Linked DNA regions of Tamandua tetradactyla. The protein of the gene in region 2 purifies or fractionates together with the protein of the main gene of each other region. This does not show direct contact. Links are inferred from orthologs where the notes say so. Each region holds a gene or a part of one and is shown on either strand. Other genes may lie near its edges. The genes, in order: ATF1, ATF2 and CEBPB.

Region 1 (8,093 bases), on a different chromosome or scaffold from region 2:
AAATTGAAAAGAATTTATCACCTGCGTGCTTAGCTTTATATTAATTTATCACCTGCATGCTTAGCTTTATATATTGATTTGTAAAGTGCTTAGGACAGTATGTGGTCTGTAGTAGTGCTCAATAAGTTATTTTTTCTGTGTACATGCACAGACAGATATGTACATGAGTGATAGAAAGGGATGGAGACCAGGATCATTTTTGCACTTACAGCCATTGGCTTAATAGTAAGACTTCAGCCATTCTCCTCTGTTTTATTCTATGGTAGATTCTTTGTCTTTTGTTATCAGTGTAGTTGGTGAATATCAAGCCCTCTGAATACCCTTCTATGGCCTGCCTACATTGCATTGCTAAGCAACACTGGGCAACCTCTTGTGTTTCACTGTGGTAATGTTATTTCCGTCTCTGGAGTCGTGTAGTGGTGTTTGCTGTTCTGGGGGGGTTTGTGTGGCTAAAAGCCACTCTAGAGGGGATGTTTAAAGAATTGTCAGATGAAAGATTGACGTTGGATGAAGTACATTTTTGTGAGGGATTTGGCATGTCATTGAAGTATTTCCTAATAATTTTCCCCCCAAATTTCCAGATTTATCACTTAACTATATATTAATCTGTTCCAGAGACCTATTAGATGGTCAGTACCTCTTACTGATGGTTGCTGGTTTAACAGATCCATTCCTTTCTGAAGTTTCAGGACACTGTTTGAAAACAGGGGCTTCTGTACCAGTCATAATTAGGAGAGCATAGCTTTTGTTTTTCATGAAAAGAAGAATACATAGTACAATACCATAAGGATTAACTAAAACCCTAAAAATAAAAAATTTAAATAGAGTAATTACCATATGACCCAGCAATTCCACTCCTAGGTATATACCCAAAAGAACTAAAAACCAGTACTCAAACAAATACATGTACCTGCCTGTTCATAGCAAAACTATTCACAATAACCAAAAGGTGAAAATAGCCCAAATATCCATCAATGGATGAATGAATAAACAAAATATACAATCAGATATTAGTCACCCATAAAAAGGAATGAAGTATTGAAACATGGTACAACTTGGATGAACCTTGAAAGCATGCTAAGAGGAAGAAATATTCCATTTACATGCAATATCTGGAATAGGTAAATCTATACAGACAGAAAGTAGATTGGTGGTTGTCAGGGACTGGGCGGTGCGGGGAGGGTGGGGTGGGAAGGAGAGGAAATGGAAGGCATCTGCTTAAAGATACAGTGTTTCTCCTTAGCGGAGATAAAAATGTTTTAGAAGTGGATAGAAGTGATTACAAAACATCCTGAATGTACTAAATGCCACTTAGTTGTTTACTTTTAAATTGTTAATTTCATGTTATGTGAATTTCACCTCAAAAAAAAAAAAAGGTGTTGTCCAGCCCTAAGGTGACCTTCCCTCTTGAACTCTCCAAAAGCTTCATAATTGCAGCATGCTCTGGCCAACATCAGCCTCTAAAGAAGACTTCTCTTAATAGCTGAATATTTGTTTCAAGCTGTTTTACTACAGCTCTGTGGCCATACTCTTGTAGGTAAGTAAATAACTTTTTCATTATGCAATCCAGCTAACACAACCAATAACCAGTACTTGCACATTATATGGTTTTACTAGTGAAACCAAGTAGGAGACTGCTGCAATATACATTGAAAGAAGTAATGATGGCTTGGACTAAGGTAGTGCAGGAAATATAGTGAAGGGGAGGAAGTCACAGGAAATTATTCCTCCTGTACTCAGCTATATTTGTTAGGACTCTGAAAATAACAGCAATCAAGGTAATCTAGTTTAAATAGAAAAAGAGCTTTTCAGTTCAGTGACCAAGGGTGGCCCATTGAACCTAAAGACTGTGGCAGGCAGCTGTACCTCAGGCAGTTTCTAGAACTGGGGTCTAGAAAGCTATTGGATTGCTCTCTCAATCTGCATCATTTGTGGATGGAAAATGCCCACTACACAAATTTTAGGATAGTTCACACTTAGAGACTAATTTTTGTCCAAGTCATAATCCTTGGGGGAAGATGAGACTCAGATGGCTGAGTGTGAGTGAGATGCCCATTGTTAAATGGATCTGGATGACCTTAAAGAATACTTTTCGTAAAGAGGGTGAGCTAGATGGACAGCCCTGCAGTTGTCCGCTACTCCAATAGCCTCACAGATTAGTTCTCTGGAATCAATTCAAGCTTTGTTAACATTAGGCAGTGAATAGTGTCAGAGCTAACTTATCTGGGACAACCCTGTTTCAAGGTGTGTTACTTGAAATAGTGGATTGTAGTTTATACACTCCCTGCAGCTTAGGACCTATCCTTGGTTAAGTTTTCCTGTGTTTAGACTTGAGGAAAAAGGACCAAAAAAAAAAGGCTATTTTATAGGCCAAAAAGTTTGTATTCATTAACTTTAAATAATTTCTGCTTTTTTTAGAGGTGCGCTGTTCCAGACACTGTTTTAAGGCTCTTAAATCCTCTACTCCAGCTCAGTCCCTTTGTAAACCCATTAGGTTTCTCTTAATTAGTGGCCACTTAGTGTTTTCCAGCTGTTTCCAGTTAGTTACATTGCAGTGTCTTCCAGTATAATAGCTAACATTATTCAGTGCTTACTCTGTGCAAGGCACAGCTTTAACTTGACACGTATTGAACTCATTCAGTCTACAAAAACTGTGGGATATAGGATTAAACCCATTTCATAATAATATTCTTTTTCGTAAATAGAAAAAAGTGCCAGAAGAGCTAAGGAAGTGCTAACCACCATCCATTCCTTTGGACTCTTGAAACTTAGGTTTTTTCCACTTTATTTCCTCATTTTTGAAGTCAAAAACCTGTCCATCTGGTTCACAAATCTTTTACTATTTTAACAGGAACTGTGTGCATAAGAACCAAAATCTTTTTCCTTCCTTTACATTCAGTTATTCCTCATAATCCAAAAAATAGGAGGAACAGCCTGTGACACCACGAGAAAGAACGAAGAAAGGTGAATATATTTGTGAGTGACAATGTTGTACAAAAGTAACATTTGATTTAGACTTAAGGAATTTTACAGGTGGAGGAGGAGCTAAAGAGGGAGTAGCTCAAGCACATTTTGAAGGTTTCTTGTTACAGTAAAACTTCGTTTCTTTTTATGGTAGCATTTTTCATTCCCCACTCCTTTTTTTACTGTTCAACATTTGTTAAGCATTCTGTTCCAAGGGAGCACAAAGGGGAAACAACGAAACACAGAACAACTGGTACAACCAGCTTTCCAGATCATTTTTCTGGATTCCAGAATGATAGAAGCTGGACTCGGTTAATCAGAAAAGGCTGCTATGTGACCCTCTTCCCGACCCCTTACCTTAATAAGGCAATTTGCTTTCACATATGACATCCTGATTACTTCAGTAATGTGGGACTTCTGGGTATTACACTCTTCATTTCCTCAGAGACGTTGGATAATCTGCCTAATCAAAAACCTGGTCCTCCTAACATGAACAAAGAAGGGCAATGACCTGTTCTAGCTTGTTTAGATGGTAATCGACGTTTGCTGAATGGATGGCAATAACTAAACGTTATGAGAGCTCTTATTGCAGAATAAACCCTTTAACTTTAAACCACATTTTCTGGCCTCAAAGGGTCAAAAACAGGAAAAGCTCTCTACTAAACCAGTGTCCTAGCATCCCACATCTCAAACTTGTAAAATTTTTTTGAGAAAAGTTTCTGGAACATTTTGTCAAGTAAGAGATTAGTTGTTTAATGTCATCATAAAATCATAAAGAACATTTTGCAAGAAAATGAATAAGGAAAAAAAATTATGAAGCACAGTCCCCAGAATGCCTTCCCCCCCCCCCCAAATTAGTCAAGGCACACATTAAAAAATATTTTGTAACATATTAAGAGGACAGCATAACATACTATGTTACGACACTGAAACTGAATTGAACCTAACTTTCCTCTTTACAGTTTAACAGTTTGGGGAATCTATGTTCCACAGTGCCCACGAAATGGAGCTCAAATACCCGACTGGCACCTTTAAAAAAAAATCAGTCTGTGTAGAAAATTCTACCTCATAAGGATGAAAAAACACACTTCTTAACGCTGTTTTGTAGGAATAAGAATAGTCTGGGTGAACTCAGAAAACCCAAGGAAGACAAGTCTCCTCGCTTCTCCCTTCAAGATGTTCAAGGTGCGATCACTCAAACTAGAACACACAGAAACTGAAGCTGAGAGGGATGCGATTAGCCAACGACAACTGCCCCACACTAAATGGCTTAATATCACTAAGCTGGTGAGGCCCTCTGGCAAGAGACGTGTAAGAGAGAGCGGCCAGGGTCGTGATGGAAAGATCCTCAAGAAAAAAAAGAACCCCAACCCGTTTTCACGTCCAACTCTCACCAAGATAACATCTTCAAGCACACCAACTCGCCGGTCAGCGCGAGTATAAAAATGGCGGCGCATCACGTGATCGACGCGGTGACGTAGTACGGTGGCCTTCACGGGAGGCTAGCCTTAACTTCACTCCCCACGCTCATTTACACTCAGTTTCCCCCCTTCCCTCCCCCGCCCCCAGCCTGGTGTAGATTATGCCGCCAATGGCGGCCCTTACTGCCAGTTGGCTGTAAAGTGACACTGATTCTCCCCCATCCATCTGACCCTTGAGAAAGAGACACGTCCCGCGCAGCGTGAGGGGTTGGGAAAGGGGCTAGTGAACTCGGATCCACCCTGGGAGGGGGGGAGTGGAAGTTCCCGTCCCGGACAGCGGCGAGGCGGCAGCCACAGGTAAGTGGGGGGCGGGAGTGGGACGTGCTCCCGTAGCGTCTGGCAGGTAGAGGGGAAAGTCGGGGCGGGGGTCGCGCGCCGAAGCAGCGGTGGAGGAAGGGCGCGGAGGGAGCGCGGCGGAAGGGGGAGGGGCTGCCGCTGCGGAGGCTGTCCGCGTTCCCTGGCGGGGCGCGTTTCCTGGCGGGGCGCGTTTCCGGTTCGCGCGCCCTGGCTCTCCGTTGTACCCTTCCGGTTATCGCGTCTTCTGCTCCCCCTGATCCCCAAAGTAAAAAAAAGTAATAAAATCTAAAACCTCCCGCTGCAGGGTAGCTTTAACCTCATGAGCCTCCCCTGCGCGGTTGAAGGCAAGGGTTCTCCATTGGAGGTCTCGGGGCTGGGGTCGGGTGCCGGAGGGAGGGCAGCTTGGCCTTGGGCTCGGTTCGGCGTCATCCGAGCGGCGTCCGGGACCAGTTGACCCCACTCTGGGCGCCCTTTGGTTTAACTAGGCTAGGAGTGACAGAGGGGTGGTACCCCCCGCCTCGCGCCCTCCCCCGACAATGATCAAACCGAGGAAACTTTCCCTTCAATTTTCTCCCTTATTATAAAACTAAGTATGGTATTTTACAGTTTCAACCATGCTGTGATTTAAATTTATTGTAGATTTTCAGTACTGTTTAGCTAGCTTTTGCGGAGCATTGAACTAATAGTCTTTGAGAGCCCTTAAGCTTCTGAAGCTATTTCTACATAGATTTGGCAAGCATCTTTGTCAGACAGGCCTCAGCTATGATAACAGTTTCTAGGGTATTTACAAAATACATTTTATCCTGAGAATTTCTTTACCCAAAGAAATACGTAGCTTTTTGTTAAGATGCTGTTTTCTCTGTAGGCTTTATATTGTACACTTAACTTACTGTCTCAGTTTTATTCAGTACTGCTTCCTAAAGTCGAGTAAATATGTTAGATCTTTATTATTTGTAATTATTCTTTAGGGTAATGTTTGGTCTGTGATGTATCTGTGCAGTACCACTATATACCAATAGGTGGTAGTCCCTTCTGAAAATTCTTTTTTCACAAGTCATACCACTTATTTACAAGGTTCCAGCGTTGGGCAGTAGGGTATATCTTGTTCTTGAATCGTTGCATTTTTAAAGCTGGGATGAAGTCATTGTCTAGAAGTATATATATATGTATAGATATATAGACTGAACAGTTTTGTTTACACACCGTACAAACCATCCAAAGTGTGCAATCAGTGGCTTTCAGTATAATCCTTTTCAGTTTCTTCTTTGACCCACCGATAGTTTTAAGAATGTGCTGTTTAACATCTATGTATTTGTGAGTTTTCACATTATCACCTGCTAATGATTTCCAGCTTCATTCCGTTATGATTAGAGAACGTACTTTGTATGATTTCACCCTTTTTAAATTTATTGAGACGCGTTTTATGACCCAGCACGTGGTCTATCCTGGAGAAGTATATCATGCTGTTTTGAGCTGCAGTATTCTGTGAATGTTTGTTAGGTTTAGTTCATTTATCATATTATTCAATTTCTCTGTTTCCTTATTGAATTTATGCTAGATGTTGTATCAGTTGATGAGAGTGGTGTATTGAAGTCTCCATTTATTATTTTAGACTGCTTCTTTCTTCAGTGTTGCCAGTGTTTGCCTTATGTGATTTGGGGCACCTTAGTTAGCATAAACATTTATGATTGATTTTACTTCTTGGCGGATTGATTTTACTTCTTGGTGGATTTCCCCTTTTATTAATAAATGATATCCCTTCTCATCCCTTATAACATTTTTGCATTTAAAATCTATTTTGTCTGATAATAATATTACATGGAATATCTTTTTCCAGCCTTTCACTTTCAACCTAGTTGTATCCTTGGGTCTAAGGGGAGTCTCTTGTAGACAGCATATAGCTGGATCATATTGTTTTTCTTTCTTTCTTTTTTTTTTAAACATGGGCAGGCACCGGGAATCGAACCCCGGCCTCCGGCATGACAAAACTCTGCCACTGAGCCACCATGGCCCCCCCTGAATCATATTATTTTATCCATTCCACCAGTCTGTGTCATTTGATTAGCAAGTTGAATCCGTTAACATTCAATGTTATTATTGTAAAGGCATTACTTACTTTAACCATTTTATCTTTTGGCTTTTATTTGTCAAATCTTATTTTTGTCTTTCTTTTTACCTTTTTAGATACTGATAATCTTTATTTCTACACTCTCCTCCAAGCCTCTCTTTCCTATTTTTTGTGGGTGTGGCAGTTTTAATCACACATCATACAGTCCATCCAAAGTGTACAACCAATAACTTTTGATATAGTCACAGAGTTATAAATTCACCACCACAGTCAATTTAAGAACATTCTCTTTGCTTCGGAAAAAAAAAAAAAAGAAAAGATTCCATATCCTTTATTCCCACCTATTATTGACACTTAGCTTCGGTATAGTGCCTTTGTTATAATTAATGAAGGAATATTACAGTGTTACTGTTAACTTTGTTCCTTTGTTTGTATTAATTGCATTTTTTCCCTTACACCACCTATCACTAACACCTTGTAATGTTGATATACATTTATACTAGTTCATGTAAGAATTTTCTTATATTTGTACAATGACCATAGTCATCATCCACAACAGGTTTCACTGTGTTATACAGACCCATGTTTTATCCTCTAGCTTCCCTTCTAGTGATGTGCACGACCCTAGACTTCAACCAGACTCATATTCACCATTTTTAATTACACAAATAGTATTGTGCCACCATCACCTCTATCCATTACCAAACATTTACAATGAATCTTATTAAATATTCTGTACAGATTAAGCATCATCTGCCCATTCTCTAACCTTTTTTTTTTTATATTTTAGCATTTGTTCCCCCTATTATTTATTTTTATTCTATATGTTCTACTCGTTTGTTGACGAGGTAGATAAAAGAAGCATCAGACACAAGGTTTTCACAATCACCAATCACACAGTCACATTGTGAAAGCTATATCATTATTCAGTCATCCTCAAGAAACATGGCTACTGGAACACAGCTCTACATTTTCAGGTAGTTCCCTCCAGCGTCTCCATTATATCTTGGATAACAAGGTGATATCTACTTAATGCATAAGAATAACCTCCAGGATAACCTCTCGACTCTATTTGGAATCTCTCAGCCATTGACACTTTGTCTCATTTCACTCTTCCCCCTTTTGGTCCAGAAGGTTTTTCTCAATCCCTTGATGCTAAATCTCAGCTCATTCTAGGGTTTTTCTCAATCCCTTGATGCTGAATCTCAGCTCATTCTAGGGTTTTTCTCAATCCCTTGATGCTGAATCTCAGCTCACTCTAAGATCTCTGTCCCACGTTGCCA
Region 2 (8,601 bases):
GTACGAGACCTTAAAATCAGATTACTGAGGATTACAAAGAAAAAGAAGTTTTACCTCAAACCTACACCAGTCTACTGAGCTCATGGATTTCAGATGCAACATTAATTCTTTTTTTTTTAATTTATTTATTAATTTAAAAAATAAAGAAACAAAAAAAACAACATACATAATCAGTAATTCACAATATCATCACTTAGTTGCATATTCATCATTTCTTAGAACATTTGCATTAATTCAGAAAAAAAAATAAAAAGACAATAGTAAAAGAAATAAAACGAACACAGGAAAGAAAAAAAGCGATTATACCTACCATACCCCTTACCCCTTGCTTTCATTAATCACTAGCATTTAAACTAAATTTATTTTAGCATTTGTTCCCCCTATTATTTATTTTTATTCCGTATGTTCTACTCATTTGTTGACAAGGTAGATTAAAGGAGCATCAGACACAAAGTTTTCACAATCACTCAGTCACATTGTGACAGCTCTATCATTAGTCAATAATCCTCAAGAAACATGGCTACTGGAACACAGCTCTACATTTTCAGGCAGTTCCCTCCAGCCTCTCCATTACATCTTGAATAACAACTGGTATCTACTTGATGCATAAGAATAACCTCCAGGATAACCTCTCGACTCTGTTTGGAATCTCTCAGCCATTGACACTTTATTTTGTCTCATTTCACTCTTCCCCCTTTTGGTCGAGAAGGTTTTCTCAATCCCTTGATGCTAAATCTCAGCTCATTCTAGGGTTTTTCTCAATCCCTTGATGCTGACTCTCCGTTCATTCCAAGATCTCTGTCCCACGTTGCCAGGAAGGTCCACACCCCTGGGAGTCATGTCCCACGTAGAGAGGGGTAGGGTGGTGAGACTGCTCGTTGTGTTGGCTGGAGAGAGGGGCCACATCTGAGCAACAAAAGAGGCTCTCTTGGGGGTGACTCTTAGGCCTAAATTTTAAGTAGACTTGACCTATCCTTTGCGGGGTTAAGTTTCATATGAACAAACCCCAAGACTGGGGGCTCTGCCTGCAGCTTTGGTTGTCCACACTGCTTGTGAGAATATCAAGAATTCAACTTGGGGAAGTTGAATTTCTCCCTGTTCTCACCACTCCCCAAAGGGGGCTTTGCAGATACTTTTCCACTCACTGATCAAATCACTCTGGGATTCATTGGGGCATCACTCTGGACAAACCAGCAAAATCTCATGTCCTACGTGAGATTCCAGGTACTTATGGCATTCAATCAAACTATCTACATAAGTTGTATTACGAGATGCACTAGTCAAAATAAAAATTTTTTAACTAATAAACATTTTTTGCTTTAGTCTCACACATACGGTGACATTTTAAAATATTAATTACCATCTATTTTCAGCACCCTGCAATAATGACATTCCTCTGTTCTTCCTCATGCAAAAACATTTTTAAAATTTGTACATTTAGTCACTATTATTATACACTCTAGGCATTCCTAGATATACCATCTCAATCTTTAACATCTATCTTTCTTTCTGATTTCATTTATGCCCCCAGCCCTCCTCCCTCTATTGTTCTCACATGCAGCTTCATTCAGTGTTTTAACATAATTGTATTACAGTTAAGTAGTATTGTGCTGTCCATTTCTGAGTTTTTGTATCCAGTCCTATTGCACAGTCTGTATCCATTCTGCTCCGATTACCCAATATCTTACCCTATTTCTATCTCCTGATGGTCACTGTTATGAACAAAATATTCTAAGTTTATTCACTAATGTCAGTTCATATTAACGAGACCATACAGTATTTGTCCTTTAGTTTTTGGCTATTCTCACTCGGCATAATGTTCTCAAGGTCCATCCATGTTGTTACATACTTCATAACTTTATTCTGTCTTAAAGCTGCATAATATTCCATCGTATGTATATACCACAGTTTGTTTAGCTACTTGTCTGTTGATGGGCATTTTGGCTGTTTTCATCTCTTTGCAATTGTAAATAATGCTGCTATAAACATTGGTGTGCAAATGTCCGTTTGTGTCTTTGCCCTTATGTCCTCTGAGTAGATACCTAGCAATGGTATTGCTGGGTCGTATGGTAATTCTATATTCAGCTTTTTGAGGAACCGCCAAACTGCCTTCCACAGTGGTTGCACCATTTCACATTCCCACCAACAGTGAATAAGTGTGCCTCTTTTTCTACATCCTCTCCAGCACTTGCCATTTTCTGTTTTGTTAATAATGGCCATTCTGGTGGGTATGAGATGATATCTCATTGTGGTTTTGATTTGCATTTCTCTAATGGCCAGGGACATTGAGCATCTCTTCATGTGTCTTTTGGCCATTTGTATTTCCTCTTCTGAGAGTTGTCTGTTCAAGTCTTTTTCCCATTTTGTAATTGGATTGGCTGTCTTTTTGTTGTTGAGTTGAACAATCTCTTTATAAATTCTGAATACTAGACCTTTATCTGATATGTCGTTTCCAAATATTGTCTCCCATTGTGTAGGCTGTCTTTTTACTTTCTTGATGAAGTTCTTTGATGCACAAAAGTGTTTAATTTTGAGGAGTTCCCATTTCTTTCTTTCTTTCTTCAGTGCTCTTGCTTTAGGTGTAAGGTCTATAAAACCGCCTCCAATTATAAAATTTATAAGATATTTCTGTACATTTTCCTTTAACTGTTTTATGGTCTTAGACCTGATGTTTAGATCTTTGATCCATTTTGAGTTAACTTTTGTATAGGGTGTGAGATATGGGTCCTCTTTCATTCTTTTGCATATGGATATCCAGTTCTCTAGGCACCATTTATTGAAGAGACTGTTCTGTCCCAGGTGAGTTGGCTTGACTGCCTTATCAAAGATCAAATGTCCATAGATGAGACAGTCTGTATCTGAGCACTCTATTCGATTCCATTGGTCAATATATCTATCTTTATGCCAGTACCATGCTGTTTTGACCACTGTGGCTTCATAATATGCCTTAAAGTCAGGCAGCGTGAGACCTCCAGCTTCGTTTTTTTTCCTCAAGATATTTTTAGCAATTCGGGGCACCCTGCCCTTCCAGATAAATTTGCTTATTGGTTTTTCTATTTCTGAAAAGTAAATTGTTGGGATTTTGATTGGTATTGCGTTGAATCTGTAAATCATTTGACATCTTAACTGTATTTAGTCTTCCAATCCATGAACACGGTATGCCCTTTCATCTATTTAGGTCTTCTGTGATTTCTTTTAACAGTTTCTTGTAGTTTTCTTTGTACAGGTCTTTTGTCTCTTTAGTTAAATTTATTCCTAAGTATTTTATTCTTTTAGTTGCAATTGTAAATGGAATTCATTTCTTGATTTCCCCGATTGTTCATTACTAGTGTATAGAAATACTGCAGATTTTTGAATGTTGATCTTGTAACCTGCCACTTTGCTGTACTCGTTGATGCAACATTAATTCTTGCTGTAATTTCTGGCTAGCCCCCACAATCATCTGTGCCAATTCCTTAAAATAAATATTTTAATGTTTAAAAAAATAAAATTTAAAATCTCTTACCTTTCTGGCTGGTGGGCCATGAGCTTTATATTCACTCTGCTGCCAGGAATCACTCCTCTCTTATCAAATAAGCAGAGCTTCCAAAGTTTCCATTTAAGTATCCTTAGGGCAAAGGATAGGCAGAAAAGAGTGAACTCATTAACCTGCACGATCTAAAAGAATAGCCTCATGCAGTACAACTGCACTATGAAGTTTTAAAAGTATTTTCCTTATTCTATATTTTAAAATGCATGGTAACATTGTAAACACAATTAATACCGCTGAATTATACACTTGAATGTGATTAAAATGGGAAATTCTGAATTGTACATAGAGTACCAAATTAAAGTTTTAAATAAAAAGGTAGAAGTTGGATCTTAAAAAAAAAATGTTAATTTTCCCTTCCATTCCCTATTTTTTAATATAATATGTTCCCTCCAAAATCTTTAATGCTCAAGGAAGGTATTTATCTTGTGGCCTCTCATAACTCCTTGCACATGCAACATATCAAAGGAATGACACTTTCAAGGAGGGAAGTAAGACAATAGAACCTTGGTGAAACACAGCAGATATACGAAGTTTTTCACCATGATAGATAGGGGGGTAAGGAGGAAGGCATGATGTTAGGTGAAAAGGCAGTGCTGCATCTCAGCATCAAAATCCTGAGTGTGACCACAGTACATGGAACATTGGACAGGGCATGAGATTTTGTAGGTTGGTCCAAGTTAGTGTGATGTCCTGATAAATCCCAGAGGGATTTGTACAGTGAATACAGAAGTATTTGCAAAGTCCCCTTGGGGGAATGGGAAGAATGGGGGAAAATTCAACTTCCCCATTTGGAGAATTCCTGATATTCTCACAAGCAGTGGGGACAACCAAATCAACAGGCCAAGCCCTCAATCTTGGGGTTTGTTTCTATTAAACTTATCCCCACAAAGAATAGGCTAAGCCTACTTAAAACTAGGCCTAAGAGTCTTTCCCAGAGAACTTCTTTTGATGCTCAGAAGTGGCCTCTCTCTCTCTCAGCCAACACAGTAAGCAAACTCACTGCCTCCCCTTCTCTACATGTGACATGACTCCCAAGGGTGTCCCTGTCCCTGGCAACATGGGACAGAAACCCTAGAATGAGCTGGGACTCAGCATCAAGGGACTTAGAAAACCTTCTCAATCAAAAGGGGGAAGAAAGAAATGAGACAAAATAAAGTGTCAGTGCTGAGAGATTTCAAAGAGTTAAGATGTTATCCTGGAGGTTATTCTTACACATTAGATAGATATCTCCTTTTTAGTTTATGGTGTATTAGAGTGGCTAAAGGGAAACAGTTTGAAATTTTTATGTGAATGCCAAAAGCTAAAAAGATACTCATTTCAAGCTGACAACAAAATTATTTTATATACAGACTCCTGTTTCCTAAAGGCAAAATTTTCTGAACTGGACATTTAGTTATACAAACGTAAAATGGAGACTATAAACGGAGTAGCAATTCAAAGGACAAACAGCTCTATGGGACAATGTAAAACTGAACATCTTCTAGGTAGAGATAAATTTCTGCAAATTATTTCCTTCACATAAATGTTTATTTTCTAGGTATTGGCTTTCAGTGGACTTATTTGTAAGGAAAGGTTTGTGTTGTTATCTCAACAGTTGCTCAAAAACTTCTCTCTCTCTAAGCCAACATGGCAAGCAAACTCACCGCCCTCCCCACCTGTATATGTGACATGACTCCCAGGGGTATAAACCTTCCTGGCAACATGGGACAGAAATCCTAGGACGCTAGGACTTGGCATCAAGGGCTTGACAAAACCTTCTCGACCAAAAGGAGGAAGAGAGAAATGAGACAAAATAAAGTGTCAGTGGCTGAGAGATTTCAAATAGAGTTGGGAGGTTATCCTGGAGGTTATTCTAACACATTATACAGATATCTCCTTTCTACTTTATGGTACATTATTGCAGCTAGAGGGAAGTACCTGAAACTGTGGAGCAGTGTTTCAGTAACCATGTTTCTTGAAGATGATTGTATAATGATACAGCTTTTTAACTGACTGTGTGATTGTGAAAATCTTGTGTCTGATGTTCTATGGTATAGATAGATGAGTAACAAATATGGATAAGAAATTAATAAATAACAAAGGTTAAAATAAATTGAGTAGATTGAAATACTAATGGTCAACAAGAGGGAGGGTGCCATGGTCAGGTTCATGTGTCAACTTGGCCAGGTGGTGGTAACTGTTTGTCTGGTTTGGCAAGTGCCGACCTGTCTGTTATGAGGACATTTCATAGAATTAAATCATGATCATGTTGACTACATCCACAGATGATTCCATTTGTAATCAGCCAAGGGGGATGTCTTCTTTAATGAATGATGCTTAACCTAATCAATCACTGGAAGTCTTTTAAGGAGGATTCAGAAGAGACAGCTCTCTTCCTGCTGTGGCCGGCAACAACTCCTGTGGAGTCTGTCCAGACTCTCCATCAGAATCATCAGCTTCACAGCCTGCCCTACAGGTTTTGGACTCTACGTTCCCACAGTTACATGAGACACTTCTATAAACTTTATATTTATGAATATTTCCTGTTGATTCTGTTTCTCTAGAGAACTCTAACTAATACAGAGGGGTAAGGGGTATAGTATATATGAGTTTTTTCTTTTTAATTTCTTTCGCTGGAGAGATGCAAATGTTCAAAAAAATGATGATGGTGATCAATACACAACTATGTGATGATATTGTGAACCACTGATTATAACCATGTCAAAAATGTTTGTATGCCAAGAATGTTTGTATTTTTTGTTTGTTGTTTACAATAAAAATATTTTTTAAAAAAGATCAGGAACAGACAAAACAATCCATTGTTAGAAAACAGTGAGATGGACTTGTGGTCTTATCTTCACCTCAAACAAAATGAAACCAGACTAAGCCAGCTGTATGTGGCCTGTCTTACACACGCAACATTAGATTATCATCCAAACTTTGAAAAACAAAAAAAATGTATATACAGCAGAGTATGAAAAGGTTATCAACAAAATACTTTAAAACATAAACACAGACTGGATTCAAATAAAATTATGTTGGAGAAATGGAAAGAAAATAGGAGTTAAATAAGAAAAAGGAACATAAAAATGTCCAACTGTTGAAGATAAACTCATTTGAGTTTTTAAAAAAAAAAACAACAGTATGTGATCACTGGTATTTAATTATAAATGAGTGGTGCCATTATTTAGAAAAGGTACAAAATCTACTTTTTGTAACTATTTAAATATGTGATGAAAACTTTTAGAAATAAACTTAGAAATGTGTAAGGATACAAAGTTTATCAAATTTCTATTCAGGAATATGAATGTACTACACAGAATGGCTCCCCAAAGATGTCCATCCCCTAATCCCTGGAACTGGTGAATATGTTTTATGTTTGTTACATGGCAAAAGGGATTATGCTTAAGTAAAAAGACTACAGATTCTAAAATAGGGAGATCATCCTGGATTACAGAGATGGGCCCAATCTAATCACATGAGAATTTAAGAACAGAGACCTTTCTCTGAGAGGGGTCAGACAAATTCAAAAAAAGACGTCAGAGAAATTAGAAGCATGAGAAGAATTCAACTCGTCATTACTGGAGGGTGCCAGATGTGAAGCATTCCAGTTTCTAGGAGCAAAGACCAGTCCATTCCCCAACTCCCTGACAGCCAACAAGGAAAGGGGGACCTCAATTCCACAAGTACAAAGAACTGAATTCAATCATCAAACTGAATGAGCTTAGAAGCACATTCGTCCCCAGAGCTTTCTATAAAGAATACAAAACTGTCAAATCCTTCTTTTGGCCCTGTTTGGATCCTAAGCAGAGGATGCAGCAGAGTCTACCTGAACTTCTAATGCACAAAATCTGTGAGATCAAAAAACAAAAATAAAAACTGTGAGCTGTTTTTGTATATGTGTTTTAAGTTGCTGAATTTAGGGTAATTTGTAAGGCAGCAAGAGAAAACTAATAAAGTGAACAAAAACTTTAAGGTGCCGTTAGCTGAATAGGCTAGTGTCCCATGGCTTCAAAGCAACAGCACCCTATAGACACATTTTTCTCCGTGCTATAATTTCCTTCTTATATTGTAGTTAAGTACCACAAAAGCAAGCTAAATGATCCTAGAGCCCACCTTTGGAACAGCAATATGATCATAAAAACAAACCTAAACCCAGGAGATTGAGAACCTATGAGTTAGTAGGACTTCATTCCTTCTTCTCAAGGTTAAATTACATTTGAGTACCTTTTTTAGGAAAAATTTACATGATATAATTTCACTAAGAACCTCTCCAGTAAGAAATAAAACATGAATTCACCAGTTTGGGAGATATAAAAAAAGAATAAATTAAAATAATACATGTAAAATACATAGTACAGTACACAGCACCCAAATAGTATCTGTTGCTTATTACAAATTTTAATGTTTTACTTTGACTTTAAATGTACATTGTCCTAAGGCTTAACTAATACCTAATCTTATGATTTTCTTTATTTTTAAAGTCAGAAAGCATGAACTACATATTTAAACTTTTAGACAAATGATTTTTCAATTAATCTTTAACCCACAGATTTGATGTTATACTAAAGTTTATTTAGTACATAATGTTCACTCATCTTGTTACCTCATTTATATTCAGTTCATTCATCAAAGAAGTCAAACACATTACAAGTGACAGAAAAAAAAATAAGTCCAGCTTTAATGAGGAAAGCAGCAGTTTTGAATCTTTTTCCCACCCACAGGGACATAGCATATGTCCTTCACCCAAGAGTTTTGAAGAAACTCTTCAAAGTTGAAAGAAAACATGAGCATCACAGATTTTTCTTGATATCACATTCATAAGAGTACAAGGATCTGAATAATGAAATCAGCCCAATATCTCAAAATACTATTTACTGGTCGGCAAATTTAGACAACGGAGACCCATTGCTTTAGCTTGTTTGGGACAGATGTTCCATACCACTGTTCTGACCTGGGTGAGATATGAAGCTGGCAGGGGGCTAAAATACCCTGCCCTTTTAGGACTACGGGGAATAGATTACCAAAGAGCACCATCTGATGGGCAAGCCAGGAAAATGCACCCTTGGGGAGCTGAAATAAAGGATTTT
Region 3 (7,691 bases), on a different chromosome or scaffold from region 2:
CAAATCCCTGAACACCCCCAGCACCTGTGTGTACGTGTGTGTATGTAGGGAGTGGGCAAAGGTGGCCTGCGGTGGGCTCCCGAGTGGGTCCTGGGGAGGGAGCTGGCACCCACCTCCTCAGGCAGGGGCCGGCTACAGTCCCCAGAGACGTGTGGTGTGGGCAGCCGGAGGAGGTGGGCAGTACTTTGCTTGGACACTTAGCGACATCGTCCCCGCACACTGCTGCAGCTGGAGACGAAAGGCAGGCCGTTACGGGGGGATGACCCGAAGCAGAGGTGTGGACACAAGGCTGCGGCAGACAGCTTCCTGGACTCCAACGGACAGCGACGTCCAACGTGTCCATGGTGACCTCCCCCATCATAAGGGGTTGCAGGTCTCCCTCCCGCCCAGCCTCGGCCCCCAGGTAACCACATGTGCAGCCCCTCCCCTCGACCAACAGAATGGGACAGAGGTGGGGCTGCGTGTTTTAGGCTTAAGCCTTCAGAAAGCCTGGAAGCTTCTGCTCCTGTGCTCTGGGGGATGTCAGCTGCTATGTAAGGTGTACAGTGGCCAGGAGACCACGTGCTGTGGTCACATGGAGAGAGCACTCAGAGAGCCATAAGAAGAGGCCACGTGAAGTCCATACAGAGACACCACATGCAGAAGCACCAGTGCAGAGGCCACGTGAGTCCCTATGGAGAGGCCATGTGAGAGATTCCTGTGGAGACACCACATGTGCAGGGGCTGCAGGTGAAGCCACGTGGCGAGGAAGAAACTCCCCGTGGGAAAGGAGAACCGAGGAGCCAAGGAGCCGATGTAGATGTGCGACCAGGCAGTGTCAGCTGTGGAGCTGTCCTGCGTGGATGCCACGCCTGGGACGAAGAAGCCCCCTTGGGTGTTCCCGCCTGCAGACCCCACGGCGCAGAGAGGAGCCGCTTCCGCTGTGCCCTGTCCCAGTGCCTGCCCATGGGCCAGGAGCACGTGAACTAGTTGTTGCTTCAAGCCCCTAAGTTTTGGGGTGTCTTTTTACACAATATCCAGAGCACCCCAGCCCTAGGCCTCCACTGGTGCCAGTTTCTCGTGCCCCTTCCCGTGGGAGTATCTGTATCGTCAAACAGCCTGCTCTTGGCTCTACCCGCTTAACGACAGACCTTAGAGACTGTTCTAGACGTGCTGGCCGGACTCAGCCCGGACCACGAGGCTAAGGTCAAGTTCATAAAAATTAAATGCAATGTGCTGGCCACATTTCAGGGGCCCCTCGCCTGTGTCCGGTGGGCATGTTCATTTCTTCAGTGGCCCATTTGTGGGCATCGGTCACCCGCTGGACTGACTCTGACCCAGGCCCCGGCGACGGAGCCGGCACGCCGCCCCTGCAGTTCCGGAGGCGGCCACCCGGGGGCAGCACGCACCCAGGCACGTCTCGCTGGCTGCTTCGCCGCCCTCAGGGAGGGAACCCCGCTTGGCAGATGGGGAAACTGAGGCCGCAGAGATGAGCATGGTGGGGGAAAATCACGGACACTAGAATCAGGGGATCAGCCTTCGCGATCCTGGGGCCTCCCTGACCTCTGCCTGCGTCCCCAGTACCTGTTTGTGACCTCTGGGGGTTAGAGATCTGATTTGGCCACGCGGGCGGCAGGCCCAAGGTCCAGCAGAGGACAGCGAGCCCCCGTGCAGGTGAGGGACGAGGCCCGGAGGGGACACCAGGCCTGGCCAAGGTGCCGCGTAGGGAAGGGCCCCGCCCACCAGCCCCAGCCCCACTGAGCCCCTAGCTAGCGGCAACCCCCCCAGCTGCATCCCGCACCCCCCTGCTGATGTCCGAGCCCCTTGCAAACCCTTTCCCCTTCTCCCTCACAGCTACGGCCGGTCCCCTTGGGTCAGCAGCCTCGGTCTTTTCCCCCTGAAAATGGAGCCAAGGGAGTGGGGGGAGGGGTCTCAAGGCAGTGGAGGCCGTCAGGCGGGCGTCCGTGGGGCCCTGCCCACAACTTCTGCTTTTAAAAGTGTAGCTGGAAATTTGAATTTTGATGTGAGGTCTGCTGGACTTTAAATGTTGGCCACAAATCCACTAAGAAACACAAAACACCAGCACCCACCGCGGGGCCTGACGGACAGGGTTGAGGTGGGCCATGGCTGCCCACAAAGCCGGTGCAGGGCGCAGCTGGGCAGGGCGCTGGGGGGGCTCCACCTGGGTCCCCCGGCCCCACAGCCACCCTGGTGGGTGCCGGTGGGGGTCCTCCTGCCCCCCGTTCCTGGGGGACCAGTGGAGCGGTGCGGTGGTGTAGCTGACCAGGGCACCCGCAGGGCAGGCTCGACCCGGTGGGAGCTGCCACGAGTTCAGCGGCGTGGGTGGGGGAGGCAGGGAACAAGGGCTTTGGTGGTGAAGTTTTTCACGGAGGCCAGCGGGCTAAGAAACCCGAGAGGGCTGAGTCCAGTGCTTTGGGGCTGGTCCCCAGGTTGCCCCCTAACTCTCTGTGTGACCCTGGGTCACCCTTCTCGGCCTTGGTTTTTCCATCCAGAAAATGGGGCTCGCATCATGCAACCTGTTACAGCTTACTACAAACCCAAGGGGAAGGTGAGACTGGAAAGACTGCAGCATTTCCCACCCTTTCATGTGACCCTGAATAGGCACCCTTAGCTTTGCTGGGCCTCAGTTTCCCTTCTGTTAACTGGAGGTGTTCCCTTCTGTCAACCTGCATCCTACAAATTATGGGGACAATTAAATGAGCCAGTATATGCAAGGAGCCTAAAACGTGGTTCTGAGAGGGCAGCAGATTGGCCTGAGGACACACAGTAAACCTCCAACCAGCTGGAGGCCTTCCAGGCCCCGCACCTCCCCAGAACCCTGAGGGCCAGGGGTCTGAGAGAGGAGCCCCTGCCACATGCCACCCTGCCCGGCCAGTGGAGGCCCCTGCTTCTTCTCAGTCCCCTTCATTCATTCATTTGCATTTCTTAGGCACCTACTGTGTGCCCGGCATGGTTCTAGACACTGGGGGACAGCAGTGACCCAAAAGACAAAAGTCCCTGGTCTGCAGGGGGCTGCCATGGGGAGGAGGTGGCGGGGACAGAAAGCACGATGGGCAGGTGAGAGAATTTTGAAGGTAACCAGAATGGTGAAGGAAATGAAACAGGAAGGGGTGAGAGGAGTGATGAGAGGTGGGGGCTTTGGACCAGGAAGTCAGGGAGGGCTTTTCAGAGGTGACTTTGAGGTGGGACCTGAAAATAAGAAGGAACTGCCTTGGGCAGAGCTGGGCAACAGTGTTCTAGGTTCCAGAGAACGTGGCAGAAGCCCTCACTCATGGGGCAGTATTGAGCATGCTGGGCCCAGGAGCCAAAGCTGCCACTGCCTGCAGACAGTCTTGGGGGAGGGGGGGTGGGGGTGGGGGTGGGGGGGTGGGGGTGGAGGAAGATCCAGGAAGACCAGTAAATAGGCTACTAGGATAATGGCGGCTGGAGTTAAGGGCTGTGAAAGGTTACCAGGGGATGCAGCAGGGAGGGCCTCTCGGAGGCGGTGGCCCTAAGCTGAGCCTGAGTGTACCAATTTGCACTCAGGAGCCTGGCTGGGCGGCTCTGGGGAAACCACCGCCAGCCGCGGGGCCTTGGATCCCTCCCTGGCTCAGAGGCTGCTGGGAAGGCACAGGGAGCCAGCAGGCCCATGTTTCACCCCCTCCCCCACCCGCCAAGGGCGCTCAGAGATGTCATTTCTCCAGCTCTAGGGGGCGGAGGTCACTCAGCTCAGCAGATAACGCCTAAAGTTGAGCAATGCCCGCCGCTGGGCCAGGGCTGGGGTCAGTGGGACGGGGGTCAGCCCCAGGCAGGCCGAGCTTCTGCTGGGGCGGCAGGGATTGGGAGAGGCAGGGGGTAGGCCCAGAAGTAGGGTCAGTGAGGGTGAGGGGCCCCTGAGCCCCTCAGTGGGGCACCCCGCCGGGACCACCTCTCCAACTGTGGAGTGGGGGCAGCAAAGCGCCCTCCCCCAGGGTTCTTGGGTGAAAATGTGAACGCCAGACCAGGCGCACCCTGAAAATGCGGAGAGACCCCGCTCCATCCCACGTGGCCCACAGCGAGGCCCGACCTGATCACCACCGCCACCCCCAGCCTCAGAACCAGTGGCTTTTGGGCCTCTGGGATTGGCAAAAAGGTCTTAGGGCGCTGGACGGGGGGGCCCTTGTTAGGGGGTGAATGGGGGACAAGAGGCTGGGGGCTCGACACGTGCCACGCCCCCTCCGGGCTTCCCCTCTTGGTGTCCGCTCTGGGGCTCAGAGCAGCCTTATCTTGGGGACTCTGGGGTGGGGACAATACAATTAATCAAAGAAAGGACAGCTCAGAGAAGGGAAGCGACTCTTCCAAGGTCACTCAGTGTGTGGCACAGCATCCCCTGCACCCCCTCCCCAGTACCCAGGTGGAGGTGGAGTATCCCGGGACGGGAAGGTGGAGTGGGCGGGGCTGGGGGGACCCCACCAGCCGGGTCCTAGCAGCCGCAGTGCCGCGAGCAGCAGCCACCGGCGCGAGCCCCGGCTCCTTCCCGCGGCCGGGGCCGGGGCGGGGGGCGGGGGGAGCAGGTTGGGGGGCGGGGAGGCGCCCGGGGAAGGGCGGTGGAGAGGGGGCGCCTCTCCAGGGCCCGAGCGGGGTTCGAGGTCTCCGGGGCCGGCGGGGCGCGCTCCTCCGCAGCAGCGCGCGGGCGAGCCTGAGGCCGCGGTGTCTCCCGGCAGGGGGCAGGCGGCCGCCGCGTTTGTAGCGGGGGAAGACGCTCCCGGCGCCCCCTCCCCGGATTCCGCCCCCCTCTAGCGTGGCCTTCGGCCCGGAGGGGGCGGTCCGGGGGCGGGATCGCGCCGCCCCGTCTCGCTCCCAATCGCGGGGCCGCGGGGTCCGGGTGGGCAGGGGGCGAGGCCGCCCCCCGCGGCCGGGAGCCCCCCGAAGGGGCGTGCCCGGCCCCAGGTCGGGCCGCCGCGCCCCGCCGCTGCCCTCCCGGGGGTCTCGGGCGGCTGCGGCGGTGGCCTCCGCGTCCCGGCGGCGGCGGGAGGGGCCGGGGCGGCCGCCAGGCGTGACGCAGCCGTTGCCATGGGCCGCCTTATAAATAACCGGGCTCGGGAGAAACTTTAGCGAGTCAGAGCCGAGCACGGGACTGGGAAGGGGACCCATCCGAGGGTCCAGGCGCCAGCCCCCACACCAGTAGCGGCCACCCCGGCAGCGGCGGTAGCAGCGACAGCGGCGGCAGCTCGGAACCGGGAGGCCGCGCCACCTGCGGGCCGGCCGGAGCGGGCAGCCCCGGGCCCCCTCCCCCGGCACCCGCGTTCATGCAACGCCTGGTGGCCTGGGACCCAGCATGTCTCCCGCTGCCGCCGCCGCCCGCCTTTAAATCCATGGAAGTGGCCAATTTCTACTACGAGTCGGACTGCTTGGCTGCTGCGTACGGCGTCAAGGCGGCCTCCGCGGCGCCCCCCGCGCCCTCCGCGGCCAGGCCCGGGCCGCGCCCCCCCGCCGGCGAGCTGGGCAGCATCGGCGACCACGAGCGCGCCATCGACTTCAGTCCGTACCTGGAGCCGCTGGGCGCGCCGCAGGCCTCGGCGCCGGCCACGGCCACCGACACCTTCGAGGCGGCTCCGCCCGCGCCCGCCTCCGCGCCCGCCTCCTCCGGGCAGCACCACGACTTCCTCTCCGACCTCTTCTCCGACGACTACGGGGGCAAGAACTGCAAGAAGGCTGCCGAGTACGGCTACGTGAGCCTGGGGCGCCTGGGGGCCGCCAAGAGCGCGCTGCACCCCGGCTGCTTCGCGCCCCTGCACCCGCCGCCGCCGCCGCCACCGCCACCGCCGCCGCCCGCCGAACTCAAGGCGGAGCCGGGCTTCGAGCCCGCGGACTGCAAGCGGAAGGAGGAGGCCGGAGCGCCGGGCGGCGGCGCCGCAGGCATGGCGGCGGGCTTCCCGTACGCGCTGCGCGCCTACCTCGGCTACCAGGCGGTGCCAAGCGGCAGCAGTGGGAGCCTTTCCACGTCCTCGTCGTCCAGCCCGCCCGGCACGCCGAGCCCCGCCGACGCCAAGGCGCCCCCGGCGGCCTGTTACCCGGGGGCCGCGCCGGCGTCCTCGCAGGTCAAGAGCAAGGCCAAGAAGACCGTAGACAAGCACAGCGACGAGTACAAGATCCGGCGCGAGCGCAACAACATCGCCGTGCGCAAGAGCCGCGACAAGGCCAAGATGCGCAACCTGGAGACGCAGCACAAGGTCCTGGAGCTCACGGCCGAGAACGAGCGGCTCCAGAAGAAGGTGGAGCAGCTGTCGCGCGAGCTCAGCACCCTGCGGAACTTGTTCAAGCAGCTGCCCGAGCCCCTGCTCGCCTCCTCCGGCCACTGCTAGCGCGGCCCCCGCGCGCGGCCCCCCGCCGCCAGCCTCGCGCCTCCGGGAAGCGCCCGCGCGCCCGCCCCCGCTCCGGGCGGCGCCGGCAGAACTTTGGCACTGGGGCGCTGGGCAGCGCGGGGAGCCGCCGGTCGTTTTACTAGTTTATTATATCTAGCTCTCTCTATTTTTTTTTTTTTTTTTTTGGCCAAAGCGACCGCCCCCCAGACGGGGCGCCCGCCCCCCGGCCCTCCTGGAAGGGGAGACGTCCGTGTGTCCGGATGAACGAGAAACTCTGCTTCTCCCGCGGCTCCGGAGTTGATGCAATCGCCCTAAACATGGCTGAAGGCGTGTGTCCGCGGACTGACGCAACCCACGTGCAACTGTCAGCCGGGCCTGAGTAATCGCTTAAAGATGTTCCTACGGGGTTGTTGATGTTTGTTGGTTGGTTTGTTTATTTTTTTGGCCTTTTTTTTGTATTATAAAAAAAAAATAATTCTATTTCTATGAGAAAAGAGGCGTCTGTATATTTTGGGAATCTTTTCCGTTTCAAGCATTAAGTAAGACACTTTTAATAAACTTTTTTTTTTGGAGACGAGTTGAAAAAGCCTTTTGGGGGCAGTAGTTGGTTTTGGATTATTATTCACGTTTTGATCTTTCTTGTGGGTTTATTTGATTTGGCTTTGTGCTTTGCTGCTGTGGGGGCGTCCTTGTGTGCGTGTAGGGGGCTGCTGATGTTATTTTTGGCTTCTTGGAGGTTGGGTGTGGGTGTGGCAGCTGGGGTTTCTCCTCCCCTGCTGCACCCCAAGGTCTGTGCTTGGAGATGGGGGCGCCGGCCTGGGGGAGGAGTGCTGGGTCAGGCATTTTGGAGTGACTCAGTGCCCCTGGGTGCTGAGGACCCGTGGCTAGGAGCCCTGCTTGGGGGGTGGGGTGGGGTGGGTCTCTGGGGAGTCAACTTGGTCCTGGGCAGCAAACCTGGGTTTGGGGGGGTCCTTGAGGTCTGTGGCCCACACACTGTCTGGAGGCGGGGCAGGCGGCCAGTGGCTGCAGGAGGAAGGGGCAGACTTTGAAGGTGCTGTGGGGTGCGCTGTTTGAAAATTTGTGAGTTTGCGTGTGTGTGTGTGTGTGTGTGTGCGCGCGTGTTTGTTTTTAAGAAAGGAGCCTGGGTGTGTGGGCCAGTCTGAGTTTGTGTTCCCCCCGCCCGTGGGAGGGCAGCAGCCTGGCCAGGTGCGGGGGGGAGGGGTCCTGCACGCCTTACCTGGGCTGGACGACTTTACCCTCCCCCTTTCTGCCCACATGTGGACGCTGTGCCCCGGCCTCACCTGTCGGCTCCGGTAGCCCGGCCAGAGTTTGAACCCGGGGCTGCTTCGGTGGGACAGGAAACCGCCC

Evidence for each region.
Region 1: the proteins of ATF2 (region 2) and ATF1 purify together in Homo sapiens (affinity purification with mass spectrometry; 3 studies listed by BioGRID and IntAct, with this or other methods). This does not show direct contact. The link is inferred for Tamandua tetradactyla from reciprocal best matches to the Homo sapiens genes ATF2 and ATF1.
Region 3: the proteins of ATF2 (region 2) and CEBPB purify together in Homo sapiens (affinity purification with western blotting; 3 studies listed by BioGRID and IntAct, with this or other methods). This does not show direct contact. The link is inferred for Tamandua tetradactyla from reciprocal best matches to the Homo sapiens genes ATF2 and CEBPB.

Annotation. Positions count from the first base shown.
Region 1 is NC_135333.1:111,991,334-111,999,426, forward strand, and holds the start of ATF1 (cyclic AMP-dependent transcription factor ATF-1), read left to right. Parts: upstream 1-4,706; 5' UTR 4,707-4,742; exon of another isoform or gene 4,743-4,806; intron 4,807-4,933; exon of another isoform or gene 4,934-5,017; intron 5,018-5,164; exon of another isoform or gene 5,165-5,332; intron 5,333-8,093.
Region 2 is NC_135329.1:147,334,623-147,343,223, forward strand, and holds the start of ATF2 (cyclic AMP-dependent transcription factor ATF-2), read right to left. Parts: upstream 3,611-8,601; 5' UTR 3,526-3,610; coding exon of another isoform or gene 3,506-3,525; intron 1-3,505. UniProt on the Homo sapiens protein: Transcriptional activator which regulates the transcription of various genes, including those involved in anti-apoptosis, cell growth, and DNA damage response.
Region 3 is NC_135327.1:2,603,946-2,611,636, reverse strand, and holds CEBPB (CCAAT/enhancer-binding protein beta), read left to right. Parts: upstream 1-4,991; 5' UTR 4,992-5,267; coding exon 5,268-6,323; 3' UTR 6,324-6,895; downstream 6,896-7,691. UniProt on the Homo sapiens protein: Important transcription factor regulating the expression of genes involved in immune and inflammatory responses. Also plays a significant role in adipogenesis, as well as in the gluconeogenic pathway, liver regeneration, and hematopoiesis.